2 linked regions of the Mus musculus genome follow. The main gene of each other region encodes a partner of the protein of the gene in region 2 in a complex. Each region holds a gene or a part of one and is shown on either strand. Other genes may lie near its edges. The genes, in order: Fermt2 and Itgb1. A codon is read from its position in the direction of its gene.

What was found.
Region 1: the proteins of Itgb1 (region 2) and Fermt2 are in contact, whole or in part, in a crystal structure (PDB 8TEE), measured with the Mus musculus proteins. Residues at the interface, in NP_034708.1 of Mus musculus: Ala786, Val787, Thr788, Thr789, Val790, Val791, Asn792, Pro793, Tyr795, Glu796, Gly797; in NP_666166.2 of Mus musculus: Phe609, Ser610, Asn611, Met612, Lys613, Gln614, Trp615, Asn616, Val617, Asn618, Trp619, Glu620, Ala629 (codon at 3,569), Asp630 (codon at 3,566), His647 (codon at 3,515), Ile654 (codon at 3,494), Ser657 (codon at 3,485), Thr658 (codon at 3,482), Lys674 (codon at 3,434), Leu675 (codon at 3,431), Ser677 (codon at 3,425), Gly678 (codon at 3,422).

The regions. Positions count from the first base shown.
Region 1 is NC_000080.6:45,456,440-45,462,543, forward strand, and holds the end of Fermt2 (fermitin family homolog 2), read right to left. Parts: intron 5,802-6,104; coding exon 5,677-5,801; intron 5,470-5,676; coding exon 5,328-5,469; intron 3,585-5,327; coding exon 3,411-3,584; 3' UTR 2,353-3,410; downstream 1-2,352. UniProt on the Homo sapiens protein: Scaffolding protein that enhances integrin activation mediated by TLN1 and/or TLN2, but activates integrins only weakly by itself. Binds to membranes enriched in phosphoinositides.
Region 2 is NC_000074.6:128,711,187-128,717,903, reverse strand, and holds part of Itgb1 (integrin beta-1 precursor), read right to left. Parts: intron 4,697-6,717; coding exon 4,526-4,696; intron 3,978-4,525; coding exon 3,739-3,977; intron 1,783-3,738; coding exon 1,627-1,782; intron 698-1,626; coding exon 602-697; intron 320-601; coding exon 230-319; intron 1-229.

The sequences.
Region 1 (6,104 bases), on a different chromosome or scaffold from region 2:
AGGCCAAAGCACAAACAACAGAAGGGACACTGAACAGGGAGCGACTCTACTAAGAGGAAGGGATATTTGACATCTATATGCTTATCCTGGGAAACTTGATTTTGCTTAATTAAATGTAGTGGAGGAATGGCACAGTGGGAAATCAGGTCACTAGATAAGCCTCTGACTTCTGTTTCCTGTTCTGGGTGGCTCTGCAGTCCACTGAGAATCTCCCTGCCCTTCCCCTGATTTCCCATTTCCTGTTAGTTTTCTCTCCCACCTCCCCCATTCTTGAGCTGCCAAACCACATCAGTTTGAACAGATAAAGAAAGCCTCCGTTAATTTGCTGAACAGCTCTGAGCTCCTGGGAAGGGAAGGGGAGGGGAGGTGAGGGGAGGGGAGGGGAGGTGAGGGGAGGGGAGGGAAGGGGAGGGGAGGGGAGGGGAGGGGAGGGGAGGGGAGGGGAGGGGAGGGGAGGGGAGGGGAGGGGAGGGGAGGGGAGGGGAGGGGAGGGGAGGGCGGGCGGGCTTCCTGAATTGCTGTGTAAAGGGCCCCAGTGGTTCTTCTGCAGGGTAAAAACTGGATCCATTTCTATTATCCCAGACTTTTAGGCCTATGCCTATAGCCTCCGTGCTGCGGCTATATGGCCAGAAAGGGGCACTGGCACAGTGGCCACAGGGCATGGCAAGGATCTGAGCCGGTTCCGGACAGGCAGTTCCGATACACGCTGGCATAAAGCAAAGGCGCAGATCTGGAAGGCTGTCAGGCTAGGGATGGTCCCATGTGTCAAGTGACTTGGATACAGATATAGTACAGAGACGCTGAAAAAACTGGTTTGCTACTGTGTTCACTACTGCTAGTGTTGACTTTAAAATACAGAGCATTGGTGTCTTTCAGCTAAGGGCCAAGAACCCAGGCTGGCCTCATTCTTCTTTATCACTACTGATTTCAAAACCTTTTAATAAGGCACAAATCGCAACTAGACAACACAGAACAGAACAGTCTGCCCTGTCTTTGCCGCTTGAATGTATGACATTGGAGAGATAAGAATGGAAAATGTTGTACCGGGCGTGGTGGCGAACGCCTTTAATCCCAGCACTTGGGAGGCAGAGGCAGAGGCAGGCGGATTTCTGAGTTCGAGGCCAGCCTGGTCTACAAAGTGGGTTCCAGGACAGCCAGGGCTACACAGAGAAACCATGTCTCGAAAAAACCAAAACCAAAAAAACCAAAAACCAAAAGAATGGAAAATATCTCTCAAGGTTACAAAGAAAACTAGTTTATGTGGAGTTGGCAATACTACACCAGAAGCTTCTAACAGGCCACTAGCCTGCTGCCTGAGAAGAACAACATTTGGATGGAGTTTGGTTAATATCCTGTTCCCATGCCCTTGTGAACAATCACAGGGAACAGAAACTCGAATGCAGGTTCTGGGAGTCCTAGACAGTGTTCTTGCAAAACGCTTTCTTGATAGAGGCTGCTGGCGACAGGTGTGAGGGTTACCAAGGCTTGCTTCCCATATGACTGGACAGAGGTGCGAAGCCAGGTCACAGTCTAGCTTTGCCTTGGTTCCCATTAAATGCAGCCATCTGTTCAGAGAAGGCAGAGTCTGCTTGGCTGCAAGGAAACTTAGAAGTATTTATGGAAGAACAGCTATAAACTAAAATTTCTAAAGGGAGACATAGATTTGGACAGAGGACAGGGTATAGGGCTAGTAAATAATATGGCAATGGGATGAATGGCTAGACCAGCAGTTCTCAACCTGTGGGTCCTGACCCCCCTCTCACAGGGGATGCCTAAGACTACGGGAAAATACAGATGTTTATATTATTATTCATAGCAGTAGAACACTACAGTTATGAAGCAGCAAAGAAAATAATTTTATGGTTGGGGATAACATGAGGAACTGTATTGCAGCATTAGGAAGGTTGAGAACCACTGGCCTAGAGAATGTGGCTGTCCAGACTGCTTAAGGACAAATGGGCCCCAGGGAGATGCCCCAGCTCAGAGGACCTGGAGCCTGAGCTTCTGTAGCACAGGGCACAGTCATCAGAGCTTTAGGTAACCAGGGCAGTGCTACACCAGGGCTCAGCAGGCAGGGCAAGCAGTGGTGGTGGGAGACAGAAGAGGTGAGCAGAGCTGGGTTTTTAGAAGCTGTCTTGGCCTCACAGGCACGGGACTGACAGAGGTGGCAGCCAGGCCCATGATGAAAGTCTGGAGTCTAACTGAATAACCACAAAGGTCTCTCAATGCCGGAGAAAGGATGTCTCCTAGAGAGAGAGAGCTCTTCATCTGGGACATGGCCTAGCACTGGCGGGCTGTTCTAATAACACACAGTGTTGGGAGAGTTGAGAGAGATCAGAAGTACAAAAGAAAACATTAAATAAAAGGTTTTACTTTTATTTAAAATAAAATGCATTTATACAGTCTTTAATTCATGGATTATTGGACAATACTGGTAAGTCCACCCCTCCCTGGCGCCCTTCTGGGCTCGTGAGCTAGGAATTGTCTAACTAGCACCAACGCAGATGTAATAGCGCAACAGACTAGAACACAGCCGGTCCAGGCTGTAGTTAAGGGCATCACGGCAAGTCACGAGCATCATGAAGTCATTCGTAATTTAGCAGATACTGAAACTGCAAATTAATTATATATTTTAAAAGCACTTAATTAATGTAAGGATGCTACATTTAAGCCATTTCCTAGTTGTGAATAGTTTTTTTTAAAAAAAACTGTACAATTTTATAAAATTTGTGTTTGTACATTAGTTACACAAAATGAATACTTCATAGATCTTTACTTCATATTGTAACACAAAGGCTGCATATCTTAGGCAGATAGTGAGTATGCTGGTGAATACTAAGAGTACTGTAATACAGTTTGGTGTAAAACTAAACACAAAACAATGTACAGCATGCTTACTCAAAGACAAAACCCACCCAATAACAACAGGTTAGCAGTGTTTCCTTCAAGGTCAACAGCATCAACAAATACCAAGCATCCACTGTAGACCGACTTTATACTGGGAGAGGGGATTAACTGGGTACCAGGAGCAGGGTACTTTAAAAGAAGGCATCAATTAAACACAAACACATGCATTACACATGATAAATAGACTTCATATAGGTTATATGTATGCCCTGGGTGGCTTGGTAGATGGCTTGTTTCTTAGTTTGGTTACTGTCAGTCAGTGACAGCTTTCCGTGGCCCTAAGGACTGTTGGGAATTCCACAGTCCACATACGGCATATCAAGGTAGGCAGCAGATTAACAATCGTGCTTGTTAGTGCACATATGTACTGGTCTGGTAAGGCAAAAAGGTATCATGATAAAATAATAAAGTTCAAGCTTACTTTATTAAGCAGCATATAAGAAACAATAGCTTTAAAGTTAAATATTGTTATGGCTGTGGAGTTTTATTACAAGTTTTCCTATTCACACCCAACCACTGGTGAGTTTGTAGAACATCTCCTCATCTAAACTTTCATTTTGGTCTTTCGCACGAGTTGAGAGAAATATGTAACCACCAATGAATTCGTGGACCACCTTGCAGTCTACTTCGGTACAGATGAAGGACAACCGGACCTCATCTGCAAACTCTACAGTGACCTGGAGCAAAGACAAAGAACTGTCAGTTCCCCGGAAGCTTCCGGACTTTAAGTTATGGTACTCCACCCCGCAGGGACGTGGGAACAGCCATCATGTCAGTGATGTCATAGGTCTAAACAGTAAGAAAAGTGTATCATCCCCACATCCCTTTCGTTTGCAAGTTCTCAAGGCGTTTACGTCGTTAAGGTCCCGAGTGGTCTCTAGTGATGCAATTAATGAGAATGGCCCTCTTTAGGTCCTGGGAGAAAACTTACTTCTTGAGTCTTATTTAACATTCGCTTCAATATGTAGTCTTTAGGTATCAAGCTTAAATATTTCAGAACGATGTGTATTTCTTTTTTTTTTTAAAGATTTATTTATTTATTATATGTAAGTACACTGTAGCTGTCTTCAGACACACCAGAAGAGGGCGTCAGATTTCGTTACGGATGGTTGTGAGCCACCATGTGGTTGCTGGGATTTGAACTCCGGACCTTTGGAAGAGCAGTCGGGTACTCTTACCCACTGAGCCATCTCACCAGCCCCCGATGTGTATTTCTGATAGCAGCTGAATACAGTGTATCCAATATATGCCAAGCAAAATCGCCTGCCAGTGAGCCGGTTTTATATGATCACAATGTAACAAAGAAAAGGGCACCAAGCTACATAGTGGGATGCGCACCAGGTTTTACAGACCCTGCTGCGGCAGTCATCAAGTGTGTGGGCGTGGACACTAAGCAGCCCTTAGGCTTCTAAGTGGGAGCGTCCTCATTTGTGAAGTCCAGGCAACCTGCCTGCTTTAGAAGGCTGAGGTGAGGCATAGAGGCCAGTGTAAGTGCAAACGTCTAGTGTCATGTCTGACCCCATAGAGGAGGCACAGGACATAACCTCTGACTGCTGTTTCGAGAAGCTGTTACAGAAAGATATCCTTAAGTATGGATGGTAAGTTCAAGTGAGAAATGAGTAACCAACCACATGGTCTGCACTTTAAAGATTATTTTTTACTATCCATATTTTTAGAGAGTCTTCTGTATTTTGTAGCCCAGGCTATTCTCTCTCTCTCTCTCTCTCTCTCTCTCTCTCTCTCTCTCTCTCTCTCTCTCTGTATATATATGTATACATACACACACACACATACACACACATATATATATACATACATATGTATGTATGTATTTTACGAGTACATGTGTTGTGTCTGCATGTATGTCTGCAAGGCCAGATGAGAGTATCAGATTCCCAGGAAATAAGAGTTGCAGGAGGTTGTGAACCTCCATGCCTGTGGGTGCTAACATGAACCTTAGTTCTCTGGAGGAGTAACAACAGCTCTCAGCTTTGGAGCCATCTCTACTCTGATTATCTGTAAATAGACTACCCTATGCAGGGTCTCACTGGGATGGGGATAGGGTCTTACAGCTTGGCTATCCAATGGTGGCCTTTAAAAGCTTACTTGAAGATTCTAGCATGGGAACAGAGCTACTCGGACAGCCTTGGCAGAAGGAAGGCTGTCTTTCTTCATCAGGAAATGCCGTCTGCTCCACCCAGTATGAGAGGAGAGAGCAGACACTAAACTTCACTAGCCTGATAACCTAAGCAGCCTTAGCAGTTAATGGGGTGCCAAATACCACAACCAAATCATGTCACAAAATCCAATCTTCAAAATCTACCTTTTGTCTTAGTCCTGGGGATCAAACCCAGACCCTGAACTACGCCCTCAGGCTATCTGCACTGAGTGACACCTGAGGGGCGTTCGTGCTAGCTCACCATCTTGATCTCCCAGTTGACATTCCACTGCTTCATGTTGCTGAACCGCCAGGTTTTGATGGCGTCACCTGTGCTGGCGTCCATCCGAATCAACCTGTTGTATGCAATTCCAATAAGTTCTTCTCTCTTGCCGCCTTGAAACCTGTAATATTGAAGAAACACCACTCAGAACGGGGGAAGGGATTTTCTCTAACCCTAAAAACAATGCAACTATTATAAGACATAATAATAGCATTAAGTTTTGGTGTAGAAGAGGTTAGTGTAGTCTAAGCAGCCCTGCCTTCAATGGTGAAGATCTAAGCCAACGAGGCGGACAAACTGAACACACAGACCACAGCAGCGCACTGACCTCGCAATGAAGTGTGTGATGCCGAACTCAGGCAGAGACTGCCAGGCTTGAATGAATCTCATCTTGGCTTCAATCAGGCTCATCTGGGCTACATTTTGATGGGCCTCCAAGATCCGTGCTGTTATCTAAACAGAATTTTAAATGTTTCATTAAATAACCAGACATTATTATCTTTTATTAAAAAAATTAAAAAATGATGTGCAACCATAGCATTATGCTGAATTGGAATTAAAAATTATCTAATGCTTCATTTGGGAATCCCAACAAAGCACCAATGTTAATTTCAGTTTTTATGTACCACACACAAGGCATTATTGGGATTCTAGTGTAGAGCTGCCAGGACCGAGAGATCCTGGTGGGCAATGAATGGCACAGTAACACATCCAGATGGCTACAGAGGTGCCGGCTGGAGTTCTGCAGTGCAAACC
Region 2 (6,717 bases):
ATATGTGGCCTAATGACACATAAACAAGTTTGGAAATTATGCACATGCCTTTATCTAAATACCACTGCTCTGCTTACACTGTGCTTTCAAAGATTATAATGATATCAAGTTTTCCTCCAGCCATGGAATTTAAATTCACGTTTTGCATAGTTTCTTCAGCTTGCTGAGGTGTATAAAGGGTGTTTTATTTAAGGCATGACATGAAGCTGACAGCATTTAAAGCACTCACGTTGTAGGCATCGATGATTAGCTGGATCACATTACTAGAGTTTCCAGACAGTGTGCCCACTGCTGACTTAGGAATCAAATTCTTCAATTCCTGAAATTAAATATGTAAAACATAAATATTACTTTTTCAACCAATTAAAATCCACTGAAAAGTAGTATTTTGACACCTCATTTCCTAAGTATCTTTCAAAGGCAAACTTAAAATAACAATCCTAATAATACACAACTAAAATGAACATAAATGACGGTTGTCAAATTCAGTCTAGCTACTGAACATAATGCCTTGTGGCATTTTCTTACATTCCAAAAATATAATTCAGCTACTAATGACTAAACAATAGGAAAAATATAGAACTTTCATTCTTTGTATTACCTTGTAAACAGGTTGGAACTCTTCAGTAACTGCAAAAATCGTCTGAATATTATTTTCACTTAGTTTCTGAACAAGGTGAGCAATTGAAGGATAATCCTAAGGAATAAAGTAATACAATTTAGTATATAAATACATTGCAATCAATGATGAGGCTTTGTTTATTTTGTTTGGGTCTCACTCTATAGTCCAGGTTTACTCTCAATTGCTAAGAGTACAGTATTTGAGTCAATAAGCATTCATAATCAGAGCACTCACACAGACTGCTTTCAAGAAAGAATATCAAATGCAAATAAGTGCTAAGCTGGGTCACGTGTCTCTCTTTTCTATGTTTAAGAACTTCTATTTTTTAAGGCATTTTTTAATAATTTATTTTTATATTCATTGGTATTTTGTCTGCATGTATATCTGTGTGAGAGTATCTGAAACCCTGGAACTAGATAGTTACAGAAAGGTGTGAACATCCATGTGGCTGCTGGGAATTGAACCCAGGTCCTCTGGAAGAGTTGCCAAGTGCTCTTAACTACTGAACATCTCTCCAGTCCCATTTTAAGAGGTTTCAAAAGCAAGACAATCTATGTACTTTAAATGTGAGGACTGTGAAATTAAGGAACCAGAACTAAAGGTTCCCATTATCTAGCACTTAAGACTAAGATTCACCAATACTAGATTTCTTCTAGAACCTGAGTGATTTGCCTATATTTGCTTTCAATGAAAGCCAGAGTGTGTATTTTTAAGTCATAAGATATAGAGGGTAAGCCTAGTTAAAAATTGCACATTTAGAAATATGACCAGCAAGACTGACAAATGATGTATTCAAGTGAGGAACCAGATGGATCTCAGCATTCCCACCACCCAGACAGAATAGCACATTGCCAAGAGCTTTACAAGCAGCAATGCAGCTTTCCCAGCCATCATCAGGGCCCACACTAACCAAAACAAGAAAGCTGCAAACCCTGCCCTCCCACATGCTCAGGATTACACTAAAATCACCAAAACTCACTCACTAGGCAGGCCTAAGTACTTACATAGTAATGGCTCATTGTATATACATTATTTTCCAGGTGACATTGTCCATCATTGGGTAAAACAATACCACCAAGTTTCCCATCTCCAGCAAAGTGAAACCCAGCATCCGTGGAAAACACCAGCAGTCGTGTTACATTCCTCCAGCCAATCAGCGACTTTAAAAGAAAGAAGTCAACTGCAGACACTGCCCATAATAACTCAACATAAATGCTTTCAGGTTGTCAAGCTGCAACTGCACTTTTAACCTAATTCTGTATCATTGTCTTTCTTGTCCCAAGGCTAATGTTGCTGTCAGTGCAGAGATGGTCCTCCAGAACTTTATAGCTTCTTCATACTGGCCTCAATTCAGAGTCTGCTTTTCAGCAGGGGTACTGAGTCTATGTTGAATACATAGAGACTCAATCCTGACTCCTGTTCCTACCCACACTTCTGTATACCCCTATTAAACCTTATCAGCTCTCTTCTACACTAGGCTTTACTTTTTTGAAGCAGCCTTTTATGCAATTCATGCTAGCCTCAAACTTACTGTTTAGTTAAGGATAGGCTTGAACTTTTAATTTCCCTGCTCCTAACTCCTAAATACTGAGATTTTAGACATGCACCACCATACCTACTAGTTTCATTTTCTTACTGTAAGAAAAATCATCAAAGATCTTTCTGTACTTTAAATCCCTACATTCTAGCTCATGAAATCAGTTCATTTGTAATTTCACTAGCTTACTCAACAAAGAATTTAAGCAATGTGAAAACCCTCTTCTATTATGTAATTAATTACATTTATTTTCTAAATTTAAAGTAACAACACATGTTTGTAAATTCATTGAAGATAGAAATTAACTTTCTTGATTCTAATCATCTTTCAAAGACAGGTTACTTGCTCCTTTGCTCTAAAGTATGACAAATTCAGAAAGGCAGCATAGCCGAAAATGGGTGGTCGGGACTATAGGGTCAGTTTGCCTGCTGGTTAAAGCAGAGGCAGCCTAGAAAATGTTCTCCACACAGTGACTGGGGTAGAAGTAGGGAGTGGGGAGAGTGCTTTTCAGAGAATAAGGAAGGCTAAGGCCAATTATACTGAAGTACTATTTTTTAAATTATGAGCACTACAGTAGCAAGTCAAAAATAAGAACAGTGGTGAGTATATATTGAGTGTCTATGTGTACTTCATACAGATCACTGCAACGGTCCTTACCACTGTCCTGTGGGCTGTCTGTTGTTAATTTTTCTAAAAGGCGCAGCTCTAAAGATACAAAGTCACCTGCCTAGGAGCAAGAAAGGACAGGAAAATCCTCCCTCCACAAAAACAACGCTTTATACTTTCTCCAGACTAACCTTATTGACCTAACAATGTTTTCTACTCTCAGCCTCAGTTCTCATTAAAAGATCATTGAGGGTCTGGTATGGTGGAGCACACCTGGAATGCCAGTACTCAGGTAAAGGCAAAAACATCTCTACAAGTTCAAGGATAGGCTGGGCCACACAGCAAGACCATTTCTCAAAACAGGAAAAAAAAAAATCAATCAGAAATACCCATGGATCATAAACACTGGTCCCTAGTGCAACAGAACAAGGCTTACTATCCTTAGAAACAATACAATTTAACCAAAAATATTCTATTACTACTTTTATTACAAAAAGTTGTCATATAGCTCATCAATCAGGGCTTTGAAAGTTCTTTCCTTTTATTATTAAAATAGAAAACTGACCCGAGGAACATGGTATGAGACACAATTCCACATGGCATGTTCAGAGCTCCTAGAGACACCTCAGATAACATCAGTTACATCTCTAGTACAGAGCCACAAAGTTTGAAAACCTCAGCCTCTTCCAAAATCCTAAACCGGCTGAAGTCTATCTGTGTTCCACTGTTTCAAATAAACAGCATGCTGGCCTTTCACACTCCTTAGGTGTGAACTCCCTTTCTGGCTCAGACAGAGATGCAATGATTACAGACACCCGAGAAAGCAGCAGTGGGAACGTAAGAACTGACATCAGTGCTCCTCGGGGTAATCTTATAGTAGCTATGGTCCTTTTGTTCTAACTTTTATTAAAAACACTTAAAATAAATCCCCACAGACAATGCTAACAGTCCCCTGTAGAAATAAATCACTTACTCCACAAACCGCAACCTGCATGATTGCATCAAAGCCACCTTCTGGAGAATCCAAGTTTCCAGATATGCGTTGCTGACCAACAAGTTCATTGAAAAACTCTCCTCTGTCAGTAAGACTAAGCACATTTTTGTAGCTAAATGGGCTGGTGCAGTTTTGTTCACTTGTACAAGGATTTCTTAGCTTTGCTGGGGTTGTGCTAATATACGGCATCACAGTTTTCTCCACAAATGAGCCAAAGCCTAAAGAAAAGAATGTACTTGGATAGATGAGTGGGAAGAGACCAACAAACTTACATCACTTTTAAATTGATATTTACTTATTTATTTGGGTGAAGGATGTGCACACATATACCACAATGCATGTCTGGAGGTCAAAGGACAAGCAGGAACTGATTTTGGAGACTGAGCTCAGTCATCACACTTAAAGGCAGGACCCTTATCCCCTGAGCCATCTCTCACCAACTCTAAATGCACATCTTTTTCTAAAGCCCAGTATGGAGGCTGCAGGGACTGCACTGTGGGAAGAGCTCCTGCTGCATTAGCGTGAGGATAAGTTCAGATCCTAGCAGCCAGGTAAAAGGCCAGGCGTGCACATACACACCTTGCACCCCAGCACTGCTGCAGGAAAAGACAGGAAATTATAGGCCACAAACCTAGGTAAGTGATAAACTGTGTCTCACAGAAATGAGACACAAAGTGATAACATAAGACACTCAATAGCCTGCTCTGCACACATGCAGAACCACCCCTCAACACACACACACACAAAATGTTCCCAACATTCCTACCAATGCGGAAGTCTGAAGTAATCCTCCTCATTTCATTCATCAAATCCGTTCCAAGACTTTTCACATTCTCCAGATCATCTTTCATAGAGTAGGAGAGATCCATAAGGTAGTAGAGATCAATAGGGTAATCTTCAGCCCTCTTGAATTTTAATGTAAACTTCTGTGGTTCTCCTAATTAACAAGATTCAAAACTGAAATTAGATGGCCAGTAATCAAAATAAAATGAGAAAAAAAGTAAGTCCAATTTACATGTTCAATGATATAGTCTTAAGTGTATATTTTTTCCAAATCTAAGAATTTTGTTAGCGCCTCAACAGGCACACTTGATTTCGTTTAACCAACCATTTACAACTCCAAGACCTAAGGAGGCAAAAATGATGAAGGCAATGCCCTCTCCAGCAACCCACAAAATACAAATAATTCTGCTACAGTTTGGATCTGCCCATGTGTTGGTACTTTCAGGAGGCAGTGGGAAGTTTGAGAGGTAAGGACTAGCAGGAGGTTTGGGTTACCAGTGATGTGCCCTGGAGTCTATGGGACCTCCTTTCTGTCTTATCTCCCAGATGCCCCACCATGACATCTCACATCACCACAAGCTCAGAGCAACAGGCCACTCCGTCAGATGAAAACTTCTAAAACTATGGCCCAAAATAAGCTTTTCTTTTTACATGTATTTCAAGTAGTTGTTACTGTAACCACAAGGTGATTTACACAAAAACTTATGAGAAAATCAGAACACCATGAGTTTTGGCAGAATGAAAGGTACATTCTAGACAGGTAGAGATTAAAGTTAAGAGTGAAATGTTCTCTGTGTAAAGGCACTGCTACACAAAGGTGAGTAACGATCTAGTTTTACTTTAGAGTTGTAAAAGGAAGTTACAGAGGTGAAGCCATAATTACAAAAAGATCAAGAAAAAAAGATGAAGCCTAAACTGAAAAATGAGGAAGGCGAGAGAGGTAAAAGTTGTTACATGTTACTTACTTAAAAAGCACAGAGCTGGAAGGCAGCTTAGTGGTAGAGCATTTGCCCAGCACATGAGAGATCCTAAATTCTATCTCCAGTACCACAAAATAAAACACAAACATGGGAGAAAATGGAAGGTCTGCTTAGATGAAAAACGATCTTTTTTCCCTGACTTCCTGGCAGGCAGCTGGAGAACAGGTACAGAGCTAAACGGAAAAGCTTATGTCATTGCTGAATGATGATTTCCAATGATGATGAGAGGAAAACCAAGTCTTACCTAAATTTGCAGAAGGATGAAAGGAAGAAAACACAAAAAGGAAATTGGAAGCAATGGAAGGAACTGAGAAAAACCAGCAGTGACATGGACTCCTAAGTTTAAGAAGAGAGCCTCTTACAAGCTCCCCACAGTAGGAGTAACGACGAGGGGCTAGAGATGACTTAGAAGTTAAGAGCACTTGCTGCTTTTACGAGGACCCAGGTTCAACTCCTAACATATGTCAGCTCATAACCATACTTCAGTTCCAAGGGATCTGATAACTTCTGACCTCTGCAGGCACCAGGTACATACACGGTGCACATATGCATGTATTCATACAGGCAAAATGTGCATATAAAAAATAAGTAAACCTAAAAAATGTTTTTAAGTAATGATGATTAAAATAAAATGTGACTTAGGCAAATACATAATCAATGTCCTGATCAGGATCCTGCAGGTCAAAGAATGATAGTAGTATTCCACTACAGTATATGTACAAGAAGTCTGTACTAAGTACTTTTCCTGACATTGCAACTTAGGAGAAAGAAGATTTATTTTTGGCTCAGTTTCAAGAAGGTCACAGAAGTTAGAGCAGGACCAAGAGGGAACAGCACTCTATGTCTTGGCAACTCAGGAAACTAAAGCCCACCCCCAGAGACACACACTCTGCCAGTCAAGCCTCAGCAACTGAAGGCTCCACAGACTCCCAAAACAGCACTACAAGCCAAGAACAAAAGTCGGCATGCAGGAACCTAAGTGGGACATTTCACATTCAAACTATAACAATGTCTATTTCCTAGGCTGAAGTTTAGCCAGGCAGCAGTAACAGGATGGAAGGATGACAGGCAGAAAGAGGGCATGTTGTCTATTTCAGAGGTGGGATGGCCATGAGCACTTATAAAATCGTTAGTATTTAAATGGTACTAAACGATGTATGGATTAAAACTTAGCTTTTCACTGACTGCTCTTCCA